Linked DNA regions of Mus musculus. The protein of the gene in region 2 interacts with the protein of the main gene of each other region in a pairwise test. Links are inferred from orthologs where the notes say so. Each region holds a gene or a part of one and is shown on either strand. Other genes may lie near its edges.

The links.
Region 1: the proteins of Max (region 2) and Mga interact in binary tests that used the Homo sapiens proteins (3 or more experiments, as listed by UniProt). The link is inferred for Mus musculus from reciprocal best matches to the Homo sapiens genes MAX and MGA.
Region 3: the proteins of Max (region 2) and Unc45a interact in binary tests that used the Homo sapiens proteins (3 or more experiments, as listed by UniProt). The two-hybrid records come from large-scale screens. The link is inferred for Mus musculus from reciprocal best matches to the Homo sapiens genes MAX and UNC45A.
Region 4: the proteins of Max (region 2) and Mxd4 interact in a two-hybrid assay, tested with the Homo sapiens proteins (2 studies listed by BioGRID). The link is inferred for Mus musculus from reciprocal best matches to the Homo sapiens genes MAX and MXD4.
Region 5: the proteins of Max (region 2) and Mxi1 interact in binary tests that used the Homo sapiens proteins (3 or more experiments, as listed by UniProt). The link is inferred for Mus musculus from reciprocal best matches to the Homo sapiens genes MAX and MXI1.
Region 6: the proteins of Max (region 2) and Mxd3 interact in a two-hybrid assay, tested with the Homo sapiens proteins (4 studies listed by BioGRID). The link is inferred for Mus musculus from reciprocal best matches to the Homo sapiens genes MAX and MXD3.
Region 7: the proteins of Max (region 2) and Plekhf2 interact in binary tests that used the Homo sapiens proteins (3 or more experiments, as listed by UniProt). The two-hybrid records come from large-scale screens. The link is inferred for Mus musculus from reciprocal best matches to the Homo sapiens genes MAX and PLEKHF2.

What each region holds. Positions count from the first base shown.
Region 1 is NC_000068.7:119,900,228-119,903,727, reverse strand, and holds part of Mga (MAX gene-associated protein), read right to left. Parts: intron 3,384-3,500; exon of another isoform or gene 1,385-3,383; intron 1,123-1,384; 5' UTR 1,056-1,122; coding exon 1-1,055. UniProt on the Homo sapiens protein: Functions as a dual-specificity transcription factor, regulating the expression of both MAX-network and T-box family target genes. Functions as a repressor or an activator.
Region 2 is NC_000078.6:76,959,449-76,963,453, reverse strand, and holds the start of Max (protein max), read left to right. Parts: upstream 1-1,205; 5' UTR 1,206-1,428; coding exon 1,429-1,464; intron 1,465-1,474; exon of another isoform or gene 1,475-1,669; intron 1,670-2,164; coding exon of another isoform or gene 2,165-2,191; intron 2,192-4,005. UniProt on the Homo sapiens protein: Transcription regulator. Forms a sequence-specific DNA-binding protein complex with MYC or MAD which recognizes the core sequence 5'-CAC[GA]TG-3'. The MYC:MAX complex is a transcriptional activator, whereas the MAD:MAX complex is a repressor.
Region 3 is NC_000073.6:80,337,420-80,341,429, forward strand, and holds the start of Unc45a (protein unc-45 homolog A), read right to left. Parts: upstream 2,801-4,010; 5' UTR 2,701-2,800; coding exon 2,650-2,700; intron 2,294-2,649; coding exon 2,132-2,293; intron 1,932-2,131; coding exon 1,895-1,931; intron 1,741-1,894; exon of another isoform or gene 1,598-1,740; coding exon 1,422-1,597; intron 1-1,421.
Region 4 is NC_000071.6:34,184,911-34,188,944, forward strand, and holds the start of Mxd4 (max dimerization protein 4), read right to left. Parts: upstream 2,801-4,034; 5' UTR 2,664-2,800; coding exon 2,600-2,663; intron 2,519-2,599; coding exon 2,419-2,518; intron 1-2,418. UniProt on the Homo sapiens protein: Transcriptional repressor. Binds with MAX to form a sequence-specific DNA-binding protein complex which recognizes the core sequence 5'-CAC[GA]TG-3'.
Region 5 is NC_000085.6:53,369,506-53,373,793, reverse strand, and holds the end of Mxi1 (max-interacting protein 1), read right to left. Parts: intron 4,253-4,288; coding exon 4,138-4,252; intron 3,605-4,137; coding exon 3,433-3,604; intron 2,222-3,432; coding exon 2,058-2,221; 3' UTR 501-2,057; downstream 1-500. UniProt on the Homo sapiens protein: Transcriptional repressor. MXI1 binds with MAX to form a sequence-specific DNA-binding protein complex which recognizes the core sequence 5'-CAC[GA]TG-3'. MXI1 thus antagonizes MYC transcriptional activity by competing for MAX.
Region 6 is NC_000079.6:55,326,932-55,330,966, reverse strand, and holds the start of Mxd3 (max dimerization protein 3), read left to right. Parts: upstream 1-1,235; 5' UTR 1,236-1,299; coding exon 1,300-1,369; intron 1,370-1,592; coding exon 1,593-1,698; intron 1,699-2,323; coding exon 2,324-2,353; intron 2,354-2,482; coding exon 2,483-2,597; intron 2,598-4,035. UniProt on the Homo sapiens protein: Transcriptional repressor. Binds with MAX to form a sequence-specific DNA-binding protein complex which recognizes the core sequence 5'-CAC[GA]TG-3'.
Region 7 is NC_000070.6:11,004,820-11,009,117, reverse strand, and holds the start of Plekhf2 (pleckstrin homology domain-containing family F member 2), read left to right. Parts: upstream 1-1,498; 5' UTR 1,499-1,725; intron 1,726-4,298. UniProt on the Homo sapiens protein: May play a role in early endosome fusion upstream of RAB5, hence regulating receptor trafficking and fluid-phase transport. Enhances cellular sensitivity to TNF-induced apoptosis.

The DNA.
Region 1 (3,500 bases), on a different chromosome or scaffold from region 2:
GAAATCTCATGTTTCAACTGAGGAACTTCATGTGTCGAATCAGTATTCATAAATCCAAGAAAGTCTTGTTTTACATTATGGGGAGCCTTCTCTAAACTTAAGCTTGATGCTTCATGACCCCTTAACACAGGATCAAAATCACCTGAATGTATCTCTGACCCTTCACCTTCTGTAAGACGAACACGATGAGCAGGAGAACTAGAAACACTATTCCCTTCTTGATCGGAGCTATTCCTCTGTTTTCCTTCTCTCTGAGGCTTACTGCTCAACCCATCATCCCGAAAGCCTTTGGCAAAAGGATTGTAATCTATTTTCAACTGAGTAATCTGAATGTTCTGATAAGCTGTTACTGCAAAGAATTCAGTCTGGGGGAAAGTAAAAGTATGAACACCGGGGCCATTTAACTGTATCACTTCTGTAGCCTTTTCTGCTGGCACCAAATGAAGCCTTGGCAGATAACGATGCATAGAGTGCAAGATAATATGTCCTTCCTGGTCCAGTGTATTGTTAGTAAGTTTGAGTTTATAGAAAGACACTGGTTGATGCATCCAATAATGACCTGTAGAAGGAGATTCTGGATGAATGAAAACTCTCCCCAAAATATGGGGTTCAGCCTTCCCACTGGGTTCCCACCAACGACCATTCCACTTATACCGATGACTATCCACAGGAGATATGTCCATTACAAGGATATACTTTAAATTTGAATCTAAGCCTGTTATCCAATATCGACAATAAGGAAACATGCGTCTTCCCTGTTTGGTCAGAATCATCTCTGTGCTTCGATTATGGAACTCATTCCACATACTATTGTTATCAAGGGTAACCGTGATTTTTCCCACAGTACAATCAGCCGGAAGGCAAATTTTCTCTTTAGATTTTCCTGGTGATGACTCCCTACTCAACAAAGCACGGGCATCTCGATTAGTAACTAAAATTCCTTGATCAGTTTTGCCATTTCCTGGCTGCTTTAGGATGACAAAGAAGGTAGGTGCTCCTCCTGTCACTGTCCCTCCATCTTGATTGGCCAATATGATTTGCTGTTTCTCTTCCATGATTCCAGTGAGAAATTCAGTAGTAAGAAAACTGTAGTCAATTCATAGTTACAAATGCTTTTTCATCCTAAAAAACAAACAAACGAACAAAAAACAGAACTTTAGTCAACTCAGAATTTTTCTAACAAAAATACAACTGTAACTCATCTGGTAGAGATTTGCCTAGCACACATAAAGCCCTGGGTATTTCCAGCCCTGCGTATACCAGGAGTAGTGGCACAGACCTGTACTCTACACACTTGGGAGATGGAGAAAGAGCACAAGTTCAAAGCCAGTCAGTGGTACAGGCACAGATAAACTTGCCCATGTTCCAGTAAATAATCACCTACCCATGCTTATGCAAGCAACCCTACTTAAACTTAGTAGAGGTCAGAGAGATGGGTCAGCAGATCAGGCAAGCCAGTTGATCCAAGTTCAATCCCTGAACCTTACAAAAAAGTGAATAAAGAGAATTGATTTTTAAACCCTTTCCTTTGACCTCAATGTTCATTAGGTGACATGCAGACACATACATGCACATACTAAACATTTATCTAAAACCTTTAAACTCACTGACTCACAGACAGACGAAAAAAGGTTTCAATTGGAGAGGGAGAGAAGAAATGAGGGTGAGAAGTAGGGATGACAATTACTAAAATTCATGCAATCCGATGCAAGATACAAGTATGAAATTGCCAAAAAATAAGTACGTTTAAGGGAATTCAAGATCACCCTGGGATACATGAGAACCTGTCACAAAATGTTATCCAAAAACATTCCTAATTCTTTAAGACATAGCTTATAGCCTTCTTTCTTTCAATCACTGTAATGGTATTTGTTCTGGAATCCCTAATCATCCTTTTAAAAAAAATTAGGGAATAGGAGGAAGAGATGGTTTCTTAAGACTCATTATGTAGATCAAGCTAGCCTCAAACTCAAAACAATCTTCCTGTGTCTGACTGTTAAGTTCTGAGATTATAGGCATGGATCACTCCACCCAATTACCCTAATCATTTCTATCATCTTTAAACTAATTTTAATCTAATCTAACTAGCTAAGTTATTCATATTCTATCTAAAAAACAAAAAAAAAACAAAAAAATAGTAATAATCCTACAATCTTATACAAACTAAAATTATGTATTTATTTTAGGAAACTATTTCAGTGTGGTTCTCAAGACATAATCCTATAGATTAGAAGGCTAAGGCAAGATTACTTAAAGGTCAAGACCAGTTTAGGCTACACAGTCAGAGAGGTTTTTGGGTACTAGGGACAAAAGTTCCAGTGCTCATATTTAAGAGCTTTATCCACTGAGTCTTCTCTCCAGGTTCTGGTGCACTTAAACTACAAACTTTATGTTAGGTGAAGTATAGCTCAAAAAATTACAAATAGCAGGGTACGGTGGCACATGCTTTTAATCTCAGAACTTGGGAAGCAAAGGCAGGAGGATCTCTGTGAGTTCGAAGCTATCCTGATCTGCAGAGAATTAGTTCCAAGACAGCCAGGACTAAATAGACCGTCTCCAAAAAAAAAAAAAAATTTATAAATAGCCAGGCTTGAAGGCTCACACCCATTAAACTATCAGAAAGTTGCTGAGGCAAGAGAATTGCCATGAATTGAGATTAAAGGGGTGATGAAGTGTTACAGCTTTGAAGGGAGAAGTATTATGGCAGTAGGAAGCCAAGGAATACCACAAAGTCACACCACACAACGAACCTCACCTAAGGGAATTATTGGGAAAACCTTGGCTTGGGTAAGACACTGCAAAAAACTGAGCAGGAAGCAGGCTTTATATAAGATTTCTTGGGGGAGCTTTCCAGGGTGGCCCCATCTTGGGATTTTCACTTTGTAGAGCATAAAGGAACTGGGTCCAGCCATAGCCTTGTTCTGTGAGAAGAGTCTGGCAGCTGGAAGCCCTCAGGGGTGGGGCCTGGCCACTCTTGTGTTGAGGAGCTTACCTGGAGGGGATCTACTTTTTAATACTAGAGCCCTAACATCCATGACCATAGATAAACGAGGAGTTTAACTTGATATCTGTTTCTTTTGAGACAATGTCTCACTATTAGCTAGGCTGACATGGAATGCATTGTATGCCTATAAACCCAAACACCAAGGCAGGAAAATTAAAAGTTCACAACTACATAAAAAATTCAAAGCCAGTCTGAGCTATATGACACTCTGCCTGCCCCATCCCTTCCCCCAAAGGGGAAAAAAATACAAATTGCTTTATTTCAACTTTGTACATAGACATCTAATAAAAATATAAAAATATGTATGAAAAACAGGAAAAGTCAGAACTTGTAGACTTGCATAAAGTCTTTTCAAAAACTAAACCAAAAGGGTTGGAGATGTGGCTCAGTGGTTAAGAACACTAACTTAAGGTCCTGATTTCAAATCCCAGCAACCACATGGTGGCTCACAACCATCCCTAATGAGATCTGTCGCCCTCTTCTGGAGTGTCTAAAG
Region 2 (4,005 bases):
GTCAGAAAGATTGTATTACACCACCAAGTTTCTGCACTCAATAGTCAGGGGTTAAATGATTTTTTACTCAAAAAACATTAACTCATAAATCAAACTCAAGACCGCACTCATTTTGAAGATCAATTGTAAAGTGGTAGTCTGGTTAATTTCTCAGATGACCTTATTATTACTGTTTGTTTGTTTGTTTGTTTGTTTGTTGTTTCATTGAGGACCTGGTGCACACTGAAAATGGTGACAGGGTAGTCCGGTTTTTGCTTTCAAAGCTGTGAAGTCTTTGAGGGGACACATCATGCCATTCCTGGGCTGCCACATATTAGATACTTAGCTAAATGCGGGTGGGGACAATGTAGTTACACTTCATACCTCGTTGCATTATGTATGACCTTAACTGGACAGGGAGCTGCACAACTTTCCCGTTTTGATTCTTTTTGCAGTTAATTAAAGTTCTCTATAAACTGGGGCACTCCCTAATCTGCTCCGGCTACAACAAACAGAAGGTAGGTTTTACTTGCACCTACGAGAGGTTTTGTAAACACTCAAGCCCAGCAAGGACAGTTCTCTCGGACAAATGAAAGCAAGATTCTTGAGATGAAGGACACCCGGCGAAATCGGTCCTTTAGTTTGTCCCGTAATGTCTCTTAACACCTTAAACCCAGATAACAGAGGGCCCGCGTGGGCATCTCGACCGCGCCCCCTGGTCAGCCACAGCGTGATTCCTTCCCGGGAGGGTTACGCCCCAGGGCGCAAGTGGAGCGACTCAAGCATTAAACGAGACAATGTAAAAGCAGTCTAGCCAAGAAGAGACAGTGTTATTTTGGCAGCCAGTTTCTCTCCCCCCGCCCCCAAACCCCCGAGCCTCCACCCAATCCCTTGGGCCGGGCGCCCAGAGCTCGGAATTGTGGCCGGCTCCAGGAGCCCAGCTCCCTCCACGTGTCCTGTCTTCCCAGCAGCCTCTCCGCCGCCTGGGGAGGAAAATCTCCTGACAACTCGCGGTCTGTGGACTACATCTCCCGGGAGGCACCGCGCCACTTCTCGCTGCCAACACCCGGGGCGCAGGCGCCCTGAGCTCTGTCAACAAGCGAGTCTGGCGAAGCCTGTGTGCGGTTCCTGATGGGATTTGTAGTTTCTCTGGCTCTCTCTCACTCGCCCATCCGACGCTCGAGGACTACAAGTCTCAGCTACCCCGGCGCGGTGAGCCCGGTCACGTGTTAGGGGGCCGATCGGGCGTGCGTGCCGCCGTTGATCCGGTGCTGCAGTGAGGTGGTTGTCGCCCGTGTTGTGTGTGCGTGAGTGTGTGTGAGTGAGTGAGCGAGTGAGTGAGTGTGTGCGTGGGGGCACTCGGCTTGTTGTTGTCGGTGACTTCCCCCTTCCCTCCACCCCTCCCCTCCCCGGCCGCCGCTGCAGTGGCCGCTCCCTGGGCCGTAGGAAATGAGCGATAACGATGACATCGAGGTGGAGAGCGACGTGAGTCCTGGGGCTTCTTCCTTTCCGTTCGGGTTGTCAGGCGGGGACAGCGGCAAGGGTTCTCAGCCGGGCGACGGCGGGAGGGGGTCGGGTCGCCGCCGCCTCCGTCCTTTTCTCCCCCTCCCCCCGGGGCCGGGACCGCCTGCGTCGCGCTCCAGGCTCGCTCCCCTCCAGTCCTGTCCGGAGAGGCCTCCTGGGACTGAAGGTGGGAGCAGACACGCGGCCTCTGGGACCCCCACATTCTCCCGTGGAGGAGGGTGTCGAGGCCTCCCTCTCCGCTCTGCCCGGCTGGGGATCCCATTATCCTTCCGGATCCTGGGCAAGGAGACCAGCGCTCAGCTCTTGCTCTTTGGGTCCATGAGCTCCCTCCTCCTGTGACCGGTTGATCCTTGGGGTGAAGGGGCTGGGAGTGCTCTGACGCCCTAGAGGGATCGAGGGAGAGCAGGCAGTGTTCCGGATCCCTCTTGTCCGGTTCGGATCCCAGAAGGAGGGGCAGTGCCTGAAACCCCCCCCCCCCCCCCCCCCAACTAGGCTACGGGATCTCGCTGGAGAGAGTGGAAGGGGAAAGAGGGAGGGAGGGGTGTCAGACTGACTCCCCACCCGCTGCTTCCTCCGCCGCCGGCATTTTCTTTCTTATTATTGAATTCGAAGTGTGAAAATAACTTCTGTATTTTCTATTTTTCTCTCTCTCTTATTCCAGGAAGAGCAACCGAGGTTTCAATCTGCGGTACGTCTCCTACTCTCCATTTCATTTTCATTTCCGTTCAGTTTTGGTTCTTTTTGGAGTCAGAAAAAGAGATCGTTCTATTACTTTTAATACTCTTGTAAACTCCTCTTAACCGCTAAGGTGAGGTTGAGTCTGTTGGGGTTGGAGGAGGGGGGCGTTGCAAATCCACATGATTCTTGATATTCAGGTGGTAGATTCTAGTGAGTAGGTAGGTAGGTAGGCAGGCAAGTGAGGAGGCCTGTGCTGTGAACTGAGTTGTTCTGTAGTGTTCAGTGCGGCGGAGATATGTGAGAAATGGAAGGGCATTCTGAAGTGAATGGTAGTGTTATTTCAGAGCAAACTGGCTAGGTTTTATTTAGGAGCAGGTAAACTTTAAGCAGTATCTCCATAGTTGTGTGAAGTTGCAGGCACATGTAATAATCGCCTTTAGCCAAGGTCATGTGACTACTGCAGACTCCTAGGATCTAGAAAAGCATGATATTCCCCAAAAAACGACAATGGAAAAAAGAGAGGCGCTAGAAGTTAAATATTGAAAGTGGCACAGCTTTTTGTGGTCTTGACTTTCCATTTGAGAAGAAAAAAAATGTTGAAGAGTGGCACTGTTAGAGACAGCTTTGCTGAAAGGTGATGGATGCATCCATATAATGTTATCAGTAACTTATTAGATTTTTTTATATTAATGGGGTTTTTTTGTAGGTGTTTCTGGCTTTGGGTTGACCCCATGCTTTCTTGTCTGGAGTCTGAGACTTAGGAGTAAATAGGCATAGATTAGAGAGAGAGAGGAGAGAAGGAATAGACTCAGAATACAACCAGAGGAGAGAGAGAGAGATGGAATATTTGATGGTTGGAAATGGTAGGGAAAGAGAATGGAGTGAGGTCCTCATTACCCGTGAGGACCAGGTAACAGCTAGTCAAGGGTGGAAGGAAGAGGTGAGGATGTACACCCCTTCTAAAAAGTCCGTAGCCACCTGCCCCTGCTGCTTGCTACCTGAGAGTGATCGGTGCTGCCCGGTGCTGCCAGATCTTTTTGTTTCCTTCAGGGCTGAGCCCTATCCCTGGAACCTCAAAGTTTATGAGAAATGTTAAAATACTTGAAACACAGATTATTACTTTTTTGGGTGTGTTTATGTGCATTTAACTTTTGACTGTGCTAGGATTCGAACCCAGGGCCCTCGCATGCTGTGCAACCCCTCTGCCATGGAGCTTCAACCTCAGCCTATTTAATTGATTTTTTTAATTACATTTACTTAACGTGTGTGTGTGTGTGTGTGTGTGTGTGTGTGTGTGTGTATGTATGTATGTGTGTATGTATGTATGTATGTGTGTGTGAGTGTTGTGTGGTCACGTGTATGTGATGGCTCACATGTGAAGGTCATAAGAACCACTTGGATTCAGTTCTCTCTCTCAAACACATGGGTCTGGGGATTGAATTTAGGGTCATCAGGTTTGACCTCAGTGCCTTTACCCACTGAGCTATCTCTCTACCTTCTAGTTACCTGATTTTTAAACGATATATGACACAGCTGTTTAGGAACTTGTAGAGTTTGCAGGATGCAACTAGGCTTGGTGGTTCTGGTCGGTAAACCCAGTTACTGGGGAGGCTGAGGTAGGAGGATCAAACGTTCGAGCAATTTACTGAGACCCTGCCTTAACATACACAACACAGAGTCCAGGCTTGTGGCCCAGTATGTAAGCCCAGGGCTTCTGAGGCTTTGGCAGGAGTCTTCCCTGAATTTTAAGCCAGCCTGGGATATAGAATGAGTTCCAGCCTGGGCTACAGCATGAGATTCTGCCTCACACGAACAAGAACTCTC
Region 3 (4,010 bases), on a different chromosome or scaffold from region 2:
AGGTTTTGAGGTAGCTGCTAACACTTCTTTTTGGTGTATGTGTGTCTGTGTGTGTGTGTGTGCGCGTTAAAACAGGTATTTCTTGGAAAACCTCTTTAACCCCATTCTTTTCTTCCAATGTTACCATTTTGATAAACACAACACACACACACACACACACACACACACTTTTTTCTTTCTTTTTAAATTAGCCCAGGCTGGTCTTGAACTCACAAAGATCTGTCTGCTTCATTCAGCTCCTGAGTGCTGTGATTAGAGGTATTCACCACCAGGCCTGGCCTTTAGTGGACATTGTTTTTTGTTGTTTTTTCAAGACAGGGTTTCTCTGTGAAACAGTCCTGGCTGTCCTAGAGCTCACTGTGTAGATCAGGCTGGCCTCGAACTCACAGAGACCTGCCTTTCTCTGCCTCTGGGATTAAAGGTGTGCACCACCACCCCTGGCTTGATGTGCATTCTTAACAGGCTTTTATTTTTATTTTATTTATTTAGTGACAGGGTTCCTCTGCATAGCCCTGGCTGTCCTGGAACTCACTCTGTAGACCCTGCTGGCCTCTAACCCAGAGGTCCGCCTGCCTCTGCCTCTCGAGTGCCAGGATTAAAGGCATGCGCTACCACCTGGCTTTTAATGTCAAGCTTTACTGACATTTTTCATTGGACTGTCACGGATTCAGCCAGATATTCTCAGACAGGCTCCACTGTTTGGATCGTTCCCTCATGAACATAGTACTTTCCTACTTAGATTACCGCATATTTTGCTTTTCCATCTACCAATCAGCAGAGCCCGCGTCTAGTCATATATGATCCATTTCTCAGAAACAGCACTGACCTAGTCTGTTTAGGTTTTTTTTTTCTCTTCATTGCTGGGCATTTAGGCAAGTTCCAAGTCTCTCTTACTATAAACAAGGCTGAAATAAAAGTCAGACGCCTGAAATTCCAGCCCTTGGGAGGTGTAGGCAGGAAGTCAAGGCTATCCACAGCTACGCAGCCAAGTCCAGGCCTAGCCTAGGTTACATGAAACCCTGTCTTAAAAAAGTAAAACTAAAAATGTTTTTGGAAGCAAGAGAATCAGGGGTTCAAGGCCAGCTTCGGGCAGGTAGTGAGTCTAAGGTCAAGAGGGGCTAACTAGATCATCAGATATTCATTTACAACTTTGATATGCTAAAGCACTACAGCCTAACAGAGCCAAATCACTTCATACCTTCGCCAGGTACCGTAAGAGTCCACGCACCCACACCACTTACATACAAGGACAAACTTATACATACACAGAAAAAAACATGCTTTAAACTTGATTTCCTCCATCAGTCTGAGCATTATTAATTAATGTGTATTTGTTACCAGTAGCTCCTCTCTGGAGTACTGTGTCTACATCCTTGTCCCAGACCCAGGCAACTCCAACTTCTCTTGGTACCTTCACATACCTTCTCCTGAATCTGGCCCCCAATGTTCCTCAGCGACTCCTGGAAAACTTTGTTCTTGGGTTCTAGGCTCACACATCTCTTCAGGTCAAGGACAGCCTGGTCCAGGCGGCCCAGCTTCTCTAGGGCTTGGCTTCGGCGATAGAGTGCTTTGACATCCCCACCGTCCTTTTCAATGGCTGAGCACAAACAGGAACTCTATCAGCACCCAGGAGGCCACCGTCTCCAGGCAAGAGCAGTAGGGATAGATCTCGAGGGCCAAAGGAAGATAGGGGTACGAATGTGGAGCTCGGTGCTTCAGCCTCAGAAAAGGTGAGGGCGGCTGCAGAAAAGGAAAGGCCGAAGAAGTGGGAAAGCAAGTAGAAAGACGAGTGACTGGGTCCAGAGGAGGAGAAAGGGATGGCTCGGTGGCCCCAGAGTCCTTTCCCACCACAGAAGACCCCATTGCTCCATATGAGGACCCACACCCACCCTACCTTTAGACGCCTCTGATTCTGCTTTGCTGTAATCTTCCTGTAAGAGAAAGATCAGGAGCCTGAGAGTGGCAATGGCACCCTTGTTTTGCTGAACCACCTGATCCCCCACTACCCACGCCTAAAGACCTCTGGCAATCGTGCGTGGCTAGGAAATGCCCAACTGGTGCACAAACAGCAGCGGCTATGGGCAATCCCAGGCCCAGGTAGAACCAGGTTAGAGCAACCCGATCCCCTCACCAGCTTGAGGTGGCAAGCAGCCCTGTTTCGGTGCAAAATGGCCTGGTCCTGGGGCGTCGCGCCGAGACTCAGGGCCTGTGTGTAGGCGGTCAGGGCGCCCTCGTAATCCCCGCATTTGAACAGCTCGTTGCCCTCCTTCCGCAGCTGCTCGGCTGAGCTGGCCTGGAGAGAGAGAGAGAGAGAGAGAGAGAGAGAGAGAGAGAGAGAGAGAGAGAGAGAGAGAGAGAGAGAGAGAGAGAGGGAGAGAGAGAGAGAGAGAGAGAGAGAGAGAGAGAGAGAGAGAGAGAGAGAGAGAGAGAAGAGAGAGAGAGAGAGAGAGAGAGAGAGAAGAGAGAGAGAGAGAGAGAGAGAGAGAGAGAGAGAGAGAGAGAGAGAGAAAGGCGTTGGGCAGAGCAGCGCGCCTGGGAGAAGAGCCGGGTCTTGGCCGAGTCCCGTGAAGGGCTAGAATAAGGTGACGGCGACCAGGTGCGAAGGCGCATGTGTGAAAGGGGAGATGGCACAGGAGAATCAGTACGCACCCCGGGGTCGGAAGGTCGGGGCTCGGGGGTCTCCGGGCCACTCACAGTCATCACGAAGCTAAGCTCCAAGAGCCAGTGCAGGCGCAGTCTTTAGAGCAAAGGTGTCCCTGGGATCCGCGAGATGCCGGCGACTGCCCCGCCCCAGCAATGCGTCAGTGTTACGCTAAACAAGGCGAGGCCAAGAAGTGGTTGGGTCTGTGCAAGGGCGGGGTACTCGCGTTGCGCAGGCGCAGGCTCAGGCTCAGGGCTGCTTCACGAGCGCCTAGTCTGTTCCCACTGGAACCTGTAGAGGGCGCGCGGAAGAGGCTCTAAAGGAAAGGCGGCGGCAGCCGCTGGAGTTTTGTTTTTCTCTCCGTCCCCGACCACGGCAGAAGTGCACGAAATCTGTAGTCATCAGTGCCATCAGCAGTAGAGTGTAGATGCCCAGTGCTAGGAGCGGGCCTGGACCCCTGGGGAGACAGGAGAGACTCAAGGTTGTCTACTGGCTGCTACAAGTCAGGGTTTGCAGAGCCCAGAGTCCCACGAGAGCAGGGGATAAATACAGATGCATACACATATTTTGCATACAAATCTGGGAGCTCGCAAGTACCTTGAAGACAAACGCGGCAGATTCAGAATTAAACCTCCTACTACAATGTGTCCAAGATTAACAAATCCTCTTTATTAACACCGTCCAAACCCCTTAAGACAAAGCAGCTTCTGTTACTTGTTTTCATTTACAGCATTGGTTGTAATTATGATTTAGTGACTTCCTCTCCACTAATCTGGAAGCTACAAGTCTCCCACTGCAGAATTCAAGGACAGTGCCCAAGACACGGGAGCACTCTGCCAGTGTTCTGCGAATCCGGGACTAGAGTTCTTACCTGAGGATGGGTGGTGGCTGAAGCGAAGACAAGTTAACTTGGTACAGGGCCTCAAATTCATCCAGGGTACAGCAGGAACCCCCGGCAGCCTGCAGGTGGCAACAGTAGGCTTCCTCGGGAGTGTCAGAGAGGCGCGGACAGAAAAAACCAGGGTAGTGGCCGCCTTCTGCATCCCGTGTAGTCTGGCACAAATGGGGGTGGTGAGCCAGGGCTGGAGAGAAGCAAGACGTCTATAGAGAAGGGAGGTTACCCACATCCCCTTCACCCTGCTCAAAGTGCAAAATGGGGTCCAAGTCCCAAAGAGAAGAGAAGAGGAGGCTCTCTCCACCCCTCACCATCAGATCTCCCGTACCCCAAGTCACCCTCAGAGGATAGGGAAAGTATTATACCTGAGAGGTCGGTTGGCTGGGCAAGATTCATCCAACTGAAAAGCAGTCCCCCACACAGGCCTGTCAGCAGGAGCCCTGGACCTCTCCCCTGGAGGCCCATAAGAAGTCG
Region 4 (4,034 bases), on a different chromosome or scaffold from region 2:
CCCTTCTCTCAGGAACTGCATTATATAGAATATGTAACCCTGAGACCAACTTTACCTTCCCTGGGAACAGTGACCCCATGGGCTGCTTGAACCTCACTGGCCAAGCCCATTCACCCAGACCACAGGTTCTGAACACTCAGGTTTCCAAGTGACTCTCAATCTAAGGGAATGTCACAGACCAACACAGGCTTCTAGGTCCCCGGACTGCTGCACTTAAGAGCAGAAAGATCAGGACACACCCAGACCAAGGCCCTCCCTGTGCTCTGCTGTTGCCCACCTGTCCTTTCCTCTGCTGCTCTAAGAGCCTGGATCTGGGATCTTTTACCAAAAAATGTGTACACTCTGCCTGGCCCATCATTCTTTGACACCATCAGGGTACTAGCTCACCTATGTTCCCTCTGGCCCTGGATTCCTCAACTCTTCCAAAACCTGCTGCTAGTCACTCAGGCTGGGCCAGAGCCTCAGAATCCCTCCACAGGCCAACCAGAGCCAAGAAGGCAGTGCAGAAACCCCTTGATGTCCTCTGGAGAACCTGTCTTTCAGTTCTCTAAATGGCAGCCTGACTGGGTCTACAGGTCTGCTAGTTTATGTAGCAGGCTAGGGTCAGCAGGAACCTTAAGTATTGAGGAGTCCCCTCACCTCCTGCACCAGAGGATACTACTTGTCTTGCCAGCTCCCAATCCCTGGACTACAGGGCCACTCTAGCAGCATGTGTGTTGGCCTTTCTTGGAACTCTTTCGGAGTCCAGAGATCCCGTGGGGGGAGGGGGGGTATTGTGCCTGAGGAGAGGCCATCGTTGTGTCAGATGCTGCCTGGGCACCACCTTGATCTGACCCTTCTGCTTATATTCTCAAAGTACTTGACCCTAAAGGCACCCTCCCATGGAGTCACTGCCATTAGAGACCTAGCCATCACTCACCCTAGCCTGCTATACCAGGGCCTGTCCTTCATTTTGCCAGGACACAGAAGGTTCAGAACTGCCCTGCCACATCTGAAATCCCAGCTTCTCAACTGAGCTGGCTGAGAATAGCCTCTGAGCAGTGACTGGGGAGGGGAGGGCTGTGTCTGCCACCCTAAGGCTTCAGGTCTTGAAGGAGTACACTCTGTCCAAGGAAGCTTCAGGGGAGGTGCACCCAAGTCCAGTCAGAGAGGCCCTTTGCATCCCCTGCCCCTTGCACCCAGTTCTCCCCATCCCAGAAGAAGATGGAAGGCTAGGACCTCATCCAGGAACAGGGTGGTTAAGCAGCCCTACCCAAGTAACTGAATCTGTCTATGCCTTGGCTTCCTCGGTTGTAAAATGGAGGTCAAAATAAGGCTTCATTTACAAGGCTGGGTCAGATTCTTACTTGTGTATATGGCAGAAGCATTCAAGGGCCTCAGCTCAGGAATGCTACCATTCCTATCAGCTGTGGGTACTCCATGCCACAGGAAGCTGAGCTCCCAAACCTGGGGTTTAGGGCAGACAGAAGCCGGGTCCAGGCCATCTCACTGTGGAAGCTTGGGGCAGTGAGGCCTCCAACACACTTAAGTCCTTCTGCAAACTGTTCAAAGCAAGAGACCAGGGGCTGGGACTCAGGCCGTTGGTAATTCAACCTGTTCTTTGCCAGGCCTAGGACACCACAGAAATGGGTCCTTGTGCCAGCCTCTCTGTTTCCCAAGAACAGACAGGCCACAGGAATGAGCCGCACCCTCTGCCAAGGGGCCCTGAAGCCCCCAGCCTGCTAAGGAAGCTCTCAGACTGACCACACAGGAGTAGCTGGGCCAAAGTTAGCCCCTAGACAGTGTCAGGTGTGCCCTGGATCCCACTGCAGCCAGGAAGGTGGAACCTTTAGCAGTCCTAGCCATACCTAAACCTCAGCTTCAGGGCTTCCTCCAAACACAAGGCCAAGGCAAACAGTGTAGTTGAGCCCTGGAACTTTTGAGAGAAATAGCTCCCTGCAGCTCTTCGCGACAAAGCCAGCCCTATGCTTGTGGTTGGAGTTTCCTTGTCAATAAGCTGCGCAGGACGCTTAAGTAGCCAGAGAGAGGTCTCTGTCCAGGCTCCTGGGGATAAGGTGCTGGGTCTAAGAGCAAAGCCAGCTCCGAGAAGTGCAAGGGAGGGAGGAGTCCCCAATTAGGCCCAAACTAGGGAGTAGCGGTCGGCACCAACTGACAACTCCTCTCCGGTCTGGAAAAGTCCAGAACGGCCCTCGGCGAGCGCGGCCGCTGTACGCGTGGCACTGTTTACGGCGGCGGGGAGGCGCGGCCGCGGGAAGATGGCGACGCGCGGGCGGGGCCGGCACCTCCTCCAGGCCGGCCGCCCGGGTGCGCGCAGGACTGTACTGGGGACGCAGAGAGGACGGGGACACTCGGGTGGGGCCGACCCGAGCTGGCTTGGCACAGCGCGCGGGGGTGGGAGGTGGGGGTTGGGGGCGGTACCTGTTGTTCGGGGCCTTGCGCACCAGGCCGGCCGTCTTTGTTTTCTTCCTTGCGAAGTCGCCGTCGAAGGGCAGCACGGAGGCGTAGCCGTGCTCGGCCTCTGCGGGACAGACGGTGCGGTCAGCGGCCCCCTGCGCCCGCCCGCCGCCCGCCCACCCTGGCACAAAGGGGCGCGGGCTACCTCGGTCCCTACGCTCCAGGTACTCGGCCGCCTCCAACAGCAGCAGCAGAGAGTTCAGCTCCATCCTGCCGCCCGCGCACGGGACGGCGGCGGCGGCGGCTGCCCGGCGCGCTCCTGCCGGCTCTGCTCGCCGCACGCCCCGCGCCTGGCGGCACACCAGCCCGACTCGCGGACTCCAGCGCTGGGCCGCCACCCTCTGCCTCAGGCCCTCAAATTGACACATAAGTCGAGCAGCAGTCGACGCAGCCAATAGGTGTGGGCGCTCCGGCTTAGGGGGCGGGTTCTTGTCTAGCCTTGCCCAATAGGGACTGGCCGAACGCCTCGGGCAGAGCTGAGAATGTTGACAGATGCGAAGCTTGGCTAGGATAGGCTGGCTCCAGTAGTAACAATTTAGAAGCCCAAGCTTAGCAACAGCACGTGGTGGCCCAGCCCCAGTGCTCGCTGACTGGCGGCCATCGTGCATGTTAAGTAGGCATTGCACGCCGATTGGGCCAGAACGGTCTATGTAAATTGAGTCCGCGGACCAATGGCCAGTGACAGGGCGTGGGGCCAATGAGGACGCCCGGGCAGGACCGGTTGCCGAGAGGAAGCACTGTGTGGTGGGACTGCTGCCCGGCCTACGCGGGGGCCAGGAGGACGTGGACCGTGTCTCGGGAGACACCAGGCAGGATGCGCTGCGGACACGCGCCCTGGCGCTTTGTCGTGCCCATGCATGTCGTGCGCAACGACCTGTTGCCCGGAGTCAGTTGGTACCATAGTCTCGGTGGAGGACCAGGCTTGGGGCCTGATAGGGGCGGGCGCTGGGATCTCGCTAAAGAACAGCAAAGGACACCTGTCTCTGGCAGGAATATTGGCTTCAGGGAAGGCTAAAACTTGGAGACAGGGACGCAGACCATTGGAATCTAAAAGCCTCTCAGATGTCAGACCCAAAGTAGGCAGGATCAGCCATCAGGAGTAAAAAGGAAGGCCACCAGGGTTAAGGGAGAGGCACCAAGAGCTACTGACACTACTGAGCAAGAGGGATCCGTGAGTGTCTGTTTGCGGTGCTTGGTCTGAGGGTAGAGCCGTGCCAAGAGCCAGGCTATGGTGACAAGAGGGTGAACTCTTCAGCAAACTCCTGGCCCTAATGACCCGAGGCCCTCATGCTGGCCTATAGATGCATGGGGGACAGACAGCTCAAGATGCCCTAACACCATCCTCTGTATCCATCCTCTCCCACCCCTTGATCCTCTCTCTGTTATTAGGTTGAGGACAAAATAGCAGGCTGGAGAGTTCTGTGGGAAATAAGGTGGCTAGATAGCAGCTCTTAAAATGGAAGGAAGGTACTGTAGCAAACAACAAAGATTATTAGCATTGAATTTACTTTAGGACCAAGGTGGATGCATTGTGCACACTTCCTTGTGGCTCTCCATATGCCCAATATGCAGATAAGGAA
Region 5 (4,288 bases), on a different chromosome or scaffold from region 2:
TCTGAGTTTGAGGCCAGCCTGGTCTGCTAGGGCTAGAAAGAAACCCTGTCTCGGGACCACCCCACCCCCAACCCTGCTCTTAAAAAAAAAAAAAAAAAAAAAAAAGGAGAATAATGCAGCCACTCAATGGCTTCCATTTACTTTCCATGGTAAGGACAAACTTTAAGAGAAAGCTCAAAGACAGCCAATACACACACACATCTTACCTGTCTGGGAGTGACTGCAAGGGAAACCAGAGGGTTTCTGCATTCTGTCCTCAGCACCTCAAGTGCAACAGGTTTCAGCCGAGTGTCTGGAGGCATGCAGTGTTTCACAAACAGCTACTTCAAAGAACCTTTTCATTCAGACACAGCCCAAGCAACGGCGAAGTGCTTTTGCAGGCACAAAAAGAGCACTGGGTAGTGTGTGCTGGGACCTTATGCATGACCAAGGCGGTATGTTTCTTGTATGGAGACGTGCTATCCACGGAAGATAGCTCTGACATTAACACACAACTCGACTGCACTGCTAAATATGGTTGTTTTTATTTTCTTTTTCCTTGCCCAGCCCTATCTAAACATAAAATAAAACTACAGGACTGAAATTAACAACCCATTAAAATCAGCAATAAGTTATGAAAATCATAAAGCTTTTTTTTTTAAGTAATTAAGGGTAGTTAAATTATTTAAAGAATACAAAGTCCAAACAGCTTGGGGTAAGGTCTCCAGCAAGGCTTCCCAGGGAAAAGCAGTGGCCCAGAGGGAAACCTGAGAGTTTGAAAGACAGAGGGAACACATGACATCAGAGTGCAGGCTAGAAGTTCCACTTAGAAGATAACATTTCTGAAGGGATTTGTAAGAGCAACAATAGCACCCGCACAGTGGGATTGTGGGGGAGGAGACTGCCTGTAGAAAATCTTTACATTAAATGAGACAAGTGCTGAACGTAACTATGTTAACTAGGATAGTATGTCTACTATGGATATCAGATGGTTAAAGCTGGTAAAAGGGAGTGGTCCTAAAGAAAACAAAAACAGCATTGACCTCCGTCTACCCAGCCCAGACCTCGTCCGTCTGTCTGTCCTGCGCACTGTGAAGAGTGAGGCGTGAGGTGTTTATCATTATCAAATGCTGCATCAAAATAGATGATTTCCCCACGTGGTTTATTCCACTATAAAAGACATCTATGTTTTTACTTATGGACAAGCTTTAAAAAGATGTCATTTTGGTTTTCAACACATACAAACAGTTATCAAAATCTCAAATAAAAATGCTGCGGTGGCTCAGACCTTGGCTGCTATACTGCGTGCGCACCTCCTCAGCTCCGCGCAGACACCGAGGCACACAGAGCTTTTCCTCCTGTGATTCAGGCCGTCATGCATGGGCTGCCCCTACGTGGCCGAAGGGTGGCGAGCGGGTGGTCGGCTGCTCTAGAGCTAACAATGCAGGTAAGGTTAGCTGGCTTAGCATGGAATCCAACAGAAAGCCGGGCTGCGTCAGGGCCTCTTTCAAAAGGCTTCATGGAGTCTCTCCTTTTGTAGAGCACGATATGAGCTTTTTAAAAATTCATTTTGTTTAAAAGAACTGATCATCCACAGGCTTCATGATAAACAGAGGCTGAGTTTTAATAGCTCTTCAGCTATCTGAGATTAATGCCTGATTATCCTGCCTTTTCCTTACTCTAAGTGTGATTTTGTTTCTAGGGCCAAGAAGCTCGGGAAGGGTTCATAACCCTATCCTTAAATGTCTGCTCACCACCACAGAGTGAGCAAACTGCAACAGGAGAGTGAAGTCTCCATTGTCTCTCAAGTCAACCTGGTCAACTCAAGATAATCACGCGCATGGTTTCTGCTGCCGTTAGAAACTGTACTCTTTCCAAATATAGGAATATTTGTTCTACCAGGGAGGCTCTACCCCACTTTTCGTTAAGTATTTGCTTAAATACAGGTCTTCTGACCGTTTTGTTCAAGTATAGTTTTTAGTTTTAAAGAGGAGACTGCATCATGAACCCAATTTGAGAGCCGGTGTTGACTCGGCCCAGTGAGCGCTCCGCCCTGCACTGTTAGGCCATGCTGGGTCCTAGGACGCGAAGGAGAGTTTGACACTGGCACTGGAATAACCCTCGTCACTCCCGACACTCTGCAGGCTGCTGTGGTCGTCAAGGTCACTGATGCTGGTGGTACTGACACTGTCTGCTTCTCCATGGGAGAACTCTGTGCTTTCCACATCCACTTCAATCTCCTCTGCGGGAGGAAGAAAGAGAAAACAAAGGGGGGCATTAATAATCTGCATGTGCACTTTCAGAAGTTAGAGAGGTTATCCAGCAAGGTTATCCGTGCTCTATCAGGGACTCTCCTGCAAAGAGCAATCTGGTATACAGTGGTGGTCTTAATTTAGGCAGCAAGTTTACTAAAACCCTTTTGACGCCAGTCCGTCTAGACCTCCCACTAAAAGCGCTTGGCCTGTTTGGGAATTAGTACTTAATATTAAAAGATCCCAACCCAAGTGGTTTAACAACATCTGTTTTACATTAAACCAAAAACTAATTCACAGCTCTGTTTATTAATCAGGGTTGCTTTAAAGAGGTTGGGGTCATGGAGAAATAAAATTAAAGATAGAAAATTTATGTTTAGGCATCCGAATTTTTTGGTGGTGTCAACTCTCTATCATAGATCATAGGTGGATCTATGGATTTCTATGGATTCATCAACAAATTCTGAATAGTAACTAAAATAAGCTAATCATAAAGTAGGTTTAAGGGGTTTGCTTTTGATTTTCTTGCATGAAATATAGCTTCAAGCCATGTCCCTCTCTCATGGTAAGAATTCTGCATTTTCTTTCTCTCTTTCTTTCTTCCTTGCTTCCTTCCTTCCTTCCTTTCTCTCTCTCTCCTCCCTCCCTCCTTCCTTCTTTCCTTTGAGATCTGTTTACTTATGTATATGAGTATACTGTGCACTGTGGCTGTCTGCAGACACACCAGAAGAGACACTAGATCCCATTACAGATGGTTGTTGAGCCACCATGTGGTCGCTGGGAATTGGGAATTGAACTCAGGCAGGACCTCTGGAAGAGCGGTCAGTGCTCTAAACTGCTGAGCCCTCTCTCCAGCCCCCAAGAACTTGGCATATTTTAAACAGAACTTTTTCTAAGTCTAAAATTTATTTCAAAATAGAAAGAATGTATATACATATATGAAAAAAAATTGTGGTTCACAAAGGCACTGCCAGAGAATGTTAGGGTGCACAAAGCCCAAGCTGGGGGCTGGGAGTGCGGCTGGGCTCACTCTTCCTAACCTAGCACATGCTACTCGCTGGGTTTGCTCTCTAGCACCAAAACAACAGAAGCTAGACGACAGTACTACATTGGTTAGTGAGAGCCGATGCAGTGTCTACAGTCTCCCCGCCCCCACCCGTCTCGGAGACTCAGGACTTCCTTAGAAAGAGAAGCTGCCTACCTCGCTCTGAATCCGAGCGATCTGAAGAGATGGTTGATCCAATGCTGTCCATTCGTATCCGCTCCATCTCCTGAGGCCCCTGCAGCTGTTCCAGTCGCCGCTTTAAAAACCTCTGTTCTCGTTCCAAGTTCTCTAGCTGGTGCTGGCTCTTCCTCTCCGCTTCTTCAAGTTTCTAAAATGAAGATGTTTTATTCACACCTGTAGTCCAGTCTAGTACAGTAAAACTAATTCCTGCCACAAATACACATATGTGGGTATGTATGTACCCTTGCATATATAAATACTGAGAAACACTTGCGTTTTAAACATAAAAACAGTGGTCTTTTTCCTGTATGGATGCTATGTTACTTGAACAAATGAAGTGAACTATAAAAGTCTGTGAGGTAAGTTCCACAAAGAGAAACCTCCTGCAATGTGGTATTCAGTGGAAAATTACTGAGAGATAAAGCCAAATAACAGCATCTCCGCCAGAGGGCGCAGCTGCCTTCCTTCAGGGTATCGGAAAGACCTTCCCCAGCATTCTCAGGTCTAGATGGCCACGCTGTAAATTTTTTTCATTTATTCGCATCATGCTGCCCCACTGGATCGCTGGTGAGATTTTACAGCCGTTTCTCTGGAGGGCAGTTAGTGAAGAAGAGGACGGTCTAGTGAGCTGTACACGACACACACAGGAATCAGTGCAAATATGGAAAGAAAGATTCTCACCTTGATGTGTGCTTTGGCTTTGTTGAGCAAACCGAGTGTTGTGTGCCTGGTGCAGTCTGGGCCCAGCGGGATCAGAACTTTCAAGCGTTCTAAACACAGGCGCAGGTGAGCTCGTCTAAGAAAGATATCAGCCAATCAGCACAGCCTGGAG
Region 6 (4,035 bases), on a different chromosome or scaffold from region 2:
CATCTTGGGTTACATAGCAAGTTTGAAGCTAGATTGTTGCACATGAGATCCTGTGTCAATTCGCTCCTCCTTCTCTTCCAAGGGGAACGCACAAGAGCCTGACTGCTGACCGGAGCTGGGCAGACCTTCCGGTGTCTCTCTCCATAGCCACCAGGCCTTTCAGTCTACAAACTGTTACACAGTAGCCGCAACTCTTGGATTTAAAAAAAAAAAAAAAAAAAAAAAGGCGATTTCCCTTGGGAAGACAGCCTCTTCCGAAGGGGCCTGATTGGCACGTGACTGTGTTTTCCTAAGGCCATCTGTTCATAGTGCCCCCTCTCTGGTCCACTTGACTCTCAGAATGCCCCATCATTCCTGACTCATAGGTATGGCTACCCCTAGTGGCTATCCAGGAGCCTCCACCGGATGGCTAGCAGAGCCTTGTTCTAGATGCCACCCCGCCCCCCAGGGGCTGTCTGGTTGCAATGGCCCTAATGAGAGACGTATGTTTGCTTGCTGGCATTAGTTGTAACCACCGCAACGCTGTCTCACAGTACGCGAGTTGTCGTCACACCTAGCAGTGGCCGCTGAGGAGCTCCAGAACTCAGGGTGAGACAGTGTGTTTCATGCCCTGGCTTGGGAAGCTATCAACAGCCGACGTTTTCACGACGCCATTAACCTCCCTGCGAAGGACGGGAGAGCTAGGAGGGATTCCCATTCGAAGACCAATGAAGGGCAGATACGGGGCGGCCCGTACCGTGTCCTGCGTCCGCGCCCCCAACACAGGCGCGTGCGCATCGCCGTCTCTCGTAGCTCGCCCCCGCCCTCCTCGTCCGGGTTTTCAAATTTGAAACCGGCAGCTTTTCCCGCCCGAGTCGGGGCCCCCGCGGCGGGAGAAGGCGGGGCCGCGCATCAACCAACCCAGTCTCCGAGGCTCGCGGCCCGCCCGGAGGATGTGGCCGCGTCCCGCGCGCACGTGTAGCCCAGGCCGGCGCCTGCTAGGACCGGCGCGATTGCCTGTCGCAGGAGTGGGGCAGCTTGCAGCGCCCGGTGTCCGGGCTGCCTGACCCGGCGGAGGGTTCTTCCCTAAAGCGCAGAGCAGCAGCCCAGTTCAGCCTGGGCGGGAAGAGGCGGGCTGGGCTGGGCAGGGCGGGGCGGACGGGGTTCCCATGGGCGGGGCGGGGAGGGGCCAGGGCGGGGCGACCGGGGGCGGGGCGGGCCCTGTGCTTGTGGCACCGTGTCAGTTACATTGAAACAAAAGTGGTAAGGCGGCTGACAGGGCTAGCATCCCTAGCCCGCTGGTCGTCGGCTGTCGCCGACATGGAACCCGTGGCTAGCAACATCCAGGTCCTGCTGCAGGCAGCGGAGTTCCTGGAGAGGCGCGAGAGAGGTGAGGACAGACCCCGCGCGCGGGCTGAATTTGGCTCCCAACCTGGAGGGAGCAAGGCTGGAGGGCTGCTGGCGCGCTGCCGCCCGCACATCTATTGGAGTTCGCAGGCAGCCGGGCAGGGAGTGACTGGGGAAAGGGTCCTGGCGCCAAAAGCCTTTCCTTGACTTCGCCGTGCCAGGGGCTCCAGCTGACGGGCTGTGTTGCTGTGTTCTCTCTCTGGCAGAGGCAGAGCACGGTTATGCGTCCCTGTGTCCACACCACAGCCCCGGGACCGTCTGCAGGAGGAGGAAGCCACCCCTGCAAGCTCCTGGCGCGCTGAACAGTGGGCGGTGAGCAGGGATGGGGCAGTGTAGGGAGGGATGCTGGTCCTTAGCTGTCCCATCTAACTCTCTTCTCACTTCCTTGTTTGTTCTTCTGGCCCAGGTACCCTGCTCCATCCGCCTTTTCTACACACACACACACACACACACACACACACACACACACACACACGGCCCAGGTACCCTGCTCCATCCGCCTTTTCTACACACACACACACACACACACACACACATCACATCACATCACACAGGTCATTCACACTCCTGAATTGTCTCTACTACAGGCTTCTGCTTTTCTGTTCTTTTGCATATTCTGTTTCTTTAAAATAGTTTCCCCTCTACTGATTTCTCTGACAGGCTTATTTTTTGATCAAGTGTCACATCTGTCCAGGGAGCCTGTCTTGCCTGGCTGTCAGGGGCGAGACCCCGCAAGTACCTGGGCAAGTGTCCTGTATTTTTTGGTGTGTGTGTCTGATTCCTTTAGTCACTACCTGGGGTGTGGTGTCCTAAAGGAACCCAGGCCCTCACGAAAGGCTTCCTTGGCGCAGCTATCTGTAGTGAGGTCTGAGCTGCACAACAGCCTGGGGTTGAGGATTTGCACAGTACCCTCACTTGATCCCCTTGGCATTCACAGGTCTGTGCACAACGAGCTGGAGAAGCGCAGGTGAGTCCCAACCTGGCTCTCAACAGTTCCCGGTCTCAAGGACCATCTTTCTCAGACCTTTCCTCCCTTGCCATCCCTCTGGCTAGGGAGGTGGGGCTGGTACTGCCCTCCAGACTCCTTCCCTTGCAGGAGAGCCCAGCTGAAGCGGTGCTTAGAGCAACTGAGGCAGCAGATGCCCCTGGGAGTTGACTGTACCCGATACACTACACTAAGCCTCCTGCGCCGGGCCAGGGTGCATATCCAGGTGAGGAGCTGTCTCTTGTCTCTCTGCTTGGGAGACAGTGTGGTCTTGTGGTGTGGATGGCCTGGCTGCAGGGCTGCCTCCATTCTGTGGGACTTGAGACAATCCCGTTTTGTTCCCGAATCCATCTAATGGAAGAGAAGCAGACAGCAGGGCTGTTCTGAGGCCTTGTAAATGTTCCTTTTGTTGTGGGTAGTATTACTTAAGTCCTAGCTGTGAGACCTTGGATGAGTCTGTTTCCTGTTGGGTTCAGCAGGGAGTATACGGCTGGTGAAAATACTGTGCTAAGCCCTGCGATTCGGCAGACCGCAGAGGGCTGGTACCTAGCCTCTCCTCCTGACTTACTCCTCAGGGCTTTCTGGTTTGGGTTCTGCTGGTGGTGTTGAGTCAGGGGAGGTCTGGAGGCAAAGGACAGTGAATTAACTAGCTGGTTGGACTTGGCCTTGCTGCTGCTCGGGTGGAATTGCAGGCCCCCTGGTGGACAGGAGTGGATATGCAGACAACAAGGCCTAGGCTGTGCCAACCATGTGGGCGTGTTAGAAGCTGCCTTGGCAACAGAAGAGGATGTTTCCTGCTTTCTGGGCCCATGTGATGGAAGGAAACAATGAGAGTCAGACAGAGAGAGAGAGAGAGAGAGAGAGAGTGCGCACGCATGTGCGCGCACATGCGCGCACACACACACACACACACACACACACACACACACACACACACACACACACCTCTGAGAGCAGATGAGGGGCAGAATCAATCAATGCCTGACCTGTTTATCAGCGTTTATCATACACGGCTCTGTTAGGTTCTATTCAAGGGCCAGGGCAGTCAGTGCCATTGCTATTCAGCACATATTTGCACTGTCACATACATGCCTGCCTTCACCTCCAAGTGACCTGGTTCTCACGTAGGCTTACATTTCTCCCATGAGCTTGTCTGACCTCATTTTCAAGTAGATGAGCGTGCTACCCAGAGGGGCTGGCACCTGGGCATTAGCCCTTTCCTTGGGCAGCATCTCCTGAGTGGTCCTTCCACCAGGCTGCCTGCTATTCTGCATGTGCTGAGGCCAGCTCTAGCTGGGATCCCTGAAGGGACACAGCCTCACTTCCTGCTTCCTGTGAAACTCAAGCATCCCTAATGCGGCCTTGCTTTCCTGGGCTCCAAGTGGTCCCGTGACAGCTTGTAAAAGCTTCTCTCTTGGCCTACCAGAGACAAAGAGCTTCCCGGGGTCCCTCTGCCTTGATGGTACCCAGCCCCGTAGTTTAGTCTAGGTGAGGACATGCACCTTTCTGTACCTTGTGCTGAGTGTTCTGGCTTATTCCCCCCTTGCTTTAAATCATTTGTACGGGTTAAAGATCAAACCTAAGGCCTTGCACGTGCTAGGCACACCTTACCCCTGAGCTGCATCTCCAGCTGCTGTCTCTCTCTCTCTCTCTTTTTTTTTTTT
Region 7 (4,298 bases), on a different chromosome or scaffold from region 2:
CAAGATTTTGAGTGTAGACAGTCTGGCTTGCATCTTTGTACTTTAAGTTAAACAAGTGTGTTGTAGGGAGGGCAACTTTTTTTTGTTTTTTTTTTTTTTTGTTTTTTTTGTTTTTTTTTTTTTGAGACAGGATTTCTCTGTATAGCCCTGGGTGTCCTGGAACTCTCTGTAGACCAGGCTGGCCTCAAACTCAGAAATCTGCCTGCCTCTGCCTCCCGAGTGCTGGGATTAAAGGCATTCGAAGAGCAACATTTTTATTGATGACACTAGAAACACAGCAGTTCCTAATCTTAAAATTTAAAAAGATTTTAGAGTGTGCTTAGTCTAGCACACATAAAGATTGTGTGTGTATACGATTGAAATCCTGTAACTATCCCTATTACGACAACTGATCTCCTTTGCCAGTTTTGTTCTGGATACTAATTTAAAACAACTGTATTTGTTTCACAGACATTCTTCTTCCTCTTCCTCTTCTTCTTCTTGTTTTTCGAGACAGAGTTTCTCTGTAGACCAGGCTGGCCTTGAACTCAGGATTCCGCCTGCCTCTGCCTCCCAAGTGCTGGGATTAAAGGCGTGTCCAACACCGCCCGGCAGCTCTCAATCTTCTTAATGCTTTAATATAGCTCCTCCTATTGCGGTGGTCTCCACCATATAATTATTTGTTACTACTTCATAACTGTAATTTTGCTGTTATGAATCATAATGCAAAATATGTTCTCCGATGGTCTTAGGCGACTCCTGTGATCCGCAGGTTGAGAACTGCTCAACAGGAGGCTAAAAAGAAAATTCCTGAATAAAACTTTAATAATAACCCAATTTCTACCCCTTTCCTGTTTAAACGGTGTGCTTTTCCCAGCCAGCCAGCCTAGATGCCTCTGCTATCTCTCCGCAGCGCCTAGTAAACGCTCTTCTAACCCAGCGTCATGGTAGCACCGAGTTCTAGGTACGCGAAGCAGTTGGCCGAGGGGAAGTTTTGAAAAGAGCGGAGTTCTTCGGCATAAGGTTACACAGGAGCCTGCGGGTCATGGGTGCGGTAAGCGCAGACCCCTGGCTTGGGAGAAAGCGACAGCAGGTGTTCGGCTGAATGGCCGAGCCGGGCGGGGTTGGCAGACGCGGTTGGGTGGCGAGAAGCAAAGCCTTTCCTGTTCCTTAGGGCGGGAGGCGTGGAGGCAGCTTCCGCCCATTCTTCCAGAGAACTTCGCGGACTGCTTAAGAGCCCTTTCCGAAGGCTAGCCCGAGTCAGGAAAGTCAGGTCAGGCGACCCAGTCCAGCCTCAGCTGGCTCAGACGCGCGTCACCTCTGCAGAGGCGCGCGTTCCCCAACCCCGCCGGGGGAGGCCCCCGAGTGGGTGTGGCCTCCGCTGAAGAGCCCGCCCCCCGTGCGGTCGCGTGGGGATGGAGGGGCGGGGCAAGGCGATGGGCGGGGCGAGGGAGCCGGGAAGAAAGGGCAGGGCGGGTGTGCTCGTGCCCGTGTTTGGCGCTTGGGCGGGGGCGCGCCGGTGCGCGCGCAGGAGGGAAGCCAGCCGGAGCGGCCGTTGTCGGGTTCGACTGGAGGGGCGGTGAAGTCACCTGCGAGCGGCTGCGCCCGCCGCGTCCGGATCGCGCCGGCCTCGCGGGGCCCCACGCAACCCTGCGAGGCTGGGGTCGGGGAGCAGGCGGAGTCCGCGCCCGGAGTCGGCGACTAGGAGGACTCGCACCCTCGGCGCCGCCGCCCGCGCGGGGTCGGGTAGGTGCCATGGGGGTCGGGACGCACCGGGCGGCGGCGGGCTGGGGAGGGAGAAGCGAAACTTTGCGGGCGCCTATCCCCGCGGGCCCGGGCCAGCCGTGGCGCGGGGAGGGGTTGGCGCGGGCGGCGGCGGCCGACGCCATGTTGGGGTCTGTGGGAAACGGGGCGCTCGGGCGGCTCCCCTCCGGGCCGGCGCTCGGGCTGGAACCGCCTGGGTCCCGCCGCGCCCGTCCGCGGGACGCCGCCCGGAGGGCCAGGGCCGGGACCATAGACGGCGGCTGGGGACTGGACCTCGCGTCGCCCCCGAAGTTGTGGGGCAGCAGGACTCGGGTCCCCAGATCGTGCGGTCTGAAAACTTTGCAGGGTCTGGGCGTCAGGGGCACGCTCTGACTCCAGCAGTTTATTTTATGACTTTATATGAAAATGGCACCGTACAATTGGCTCAGATAGGAGCGGTAGCTTACACGCTACTTGAAGGGTTTTTTTTTTTTAAGTTTTATGATCTTTTGCCTAGTTTTTTTTTTTTTTTAATGTTATTAAAGGCCAAGAGCTGGTTCCCCAAGTTGCTCGAGTAGCCTTGTATAGTCCTCGAATATTAAAGCAGTAAGTTGTGTGAGTGTGCAGTGGAAATGACTAGTATTCAGGTTACATACACCTAAGCAGTAATTCAGACTCCCAAGTACATTAAACTGGTAAATGCCTTCTTTGTTATGTTTTAATATGTTGCCTAAGAGACTCGTTAAAGAACCATTTAGAGTTGAACGTTCAGTTGAAACGTTAAGGCATGTGTTGTCTTAAGACTAAGTGAAATAACCCAGTGTGTTGGCTCATGCCGGTTTTCTGAGCACTCCCGCGGGCTAGGGCAGAAGCATTGCCGCGAGTTCAAGGCCAGCCTTGGCTACAGCTTGAGTCTGAAACAAACAACCCCAGGACCACAACAAACAGATTAGGGTGATTTTGACGATTCAGTTTTTTTTTTATTCTTTTTCCTTTTCGTTCCTTAAAGGTGCATGAGTTTTGAGCCCCTATCTTTGTACCTTTATAGCTTAAGGGGTGGGAGGACCCAGGTTAAATCAGAATTAACCCAGGCTATTTTTAATCACTATGGGTCATGAGAGCATTGGGAGGTGAATGGTATTAAGTTGCTTATTTGGAAAGCTCTTTATAATCGCCCCTGCCCCCAAATGAAACTGGTGTACAGCATGAAGTAGCCTAGTAAATAAATACCCTTAAAAAAATAAAGGCGGCTTTAAAATTATGTTAAATGGGCTGAAAAGACTCTTAACAATGCAGAAGCCGTAAACAGCCGTGGTGGTTTTCCTTTTTTACTCTTTAGTTTTTTAAAATCATTCTACTATGTGGGGAAGGAGGAGGCACGCAGCCCCAGACCTCACGCAGAGAGGTCAGAAGACAAATTTCCTGAGTTTCTTCTCTTCACCATGTGATTATGGGGATGGAATTTAGGTTGTCAGGCTTGGGGGCCAGCTGCTATCATTACTTTCTGAGCCACTTTTCTGACCCCTCTATTTTTAATTATATCGTGTGTGTGTGTGTGTGTGTGTGTGTGTGTGTGTACATTTGTGTGGGCACATGGCACAACTGTGGAGGTCAAAGGGATAACTTTGGAAGTTGCTTCTCCATCCACCTTCTGCCCCAGGATAGAGCTGAGGCTGTCAGGCCTGGCCTCAGAGCCTTACCCCACAGAGCCATCCCTGCCCCTCTTTTTAGTGTTTAGTAGGTAAAAGTACTTTCTTAGGTATGCCAACTTTCTTTAAATTTTTCTTTAATTTTTGCTCCCTTGTCAGGTCACTTCCATTTGATATATATTTATTTTTTGGACCAAAAATTATTTATCAGAAAGAAGTTACTAGCCTGATATCACAAATCTTAGTAGTCAGTCTGCAGCCATCTGATCGTTTCTAGAGCATGGCATAACTCATCCCTGTGTGGGCATTCTCTTGCCCATCTCGTTTCTTCACTTATCCTAATTCAGGCTTCAGTAGAACTGTCTGCTAAAGAGCTGATAATGCAAGGGTATGATACTGACTGTTTTCTTCTTAAAAACTTTTTGTGGAAGCTGGGGGTGTAGTGGAGCACGGCTGTAATCCCAGCACCCTGAGGCCAAATTGCTGAGGGGTTGATCTGGGATTCATAGTGAGACTGTCTCAAAACCAACCAAAACCAAATCTACCCTCAAACCTGCCCTCTTTGATGCTTTCCCACCCACTGTGCAGACCAGCTTCCTCTTTCTCCATTGGATTCAACCCTAGGCGTCCTAGACCTACCACCTAGGTCTGTAATGGCACGCCCTTGACGGCAGGCCTCATGTGAGGTCCCATTTGCTTGTCCATCTTCCGCAAGCCAGAATGGAGCAGATGCTCAGGGGAGGCTTAGATGGTTCCCTGTAAATAGTCTTCATAAACTTACTAAATTGTCATTTATCCGTGGGATAGCTAAGCTTCTCCGTCGTCTGCCCTACGCACTACAAACTCCATTCAGTTGGCGGATGAAGGGCTTGAATTTGTGTGTGTGTTTTCTTTTTAGACACAATTAACTATTTCCAAGCAGATAAT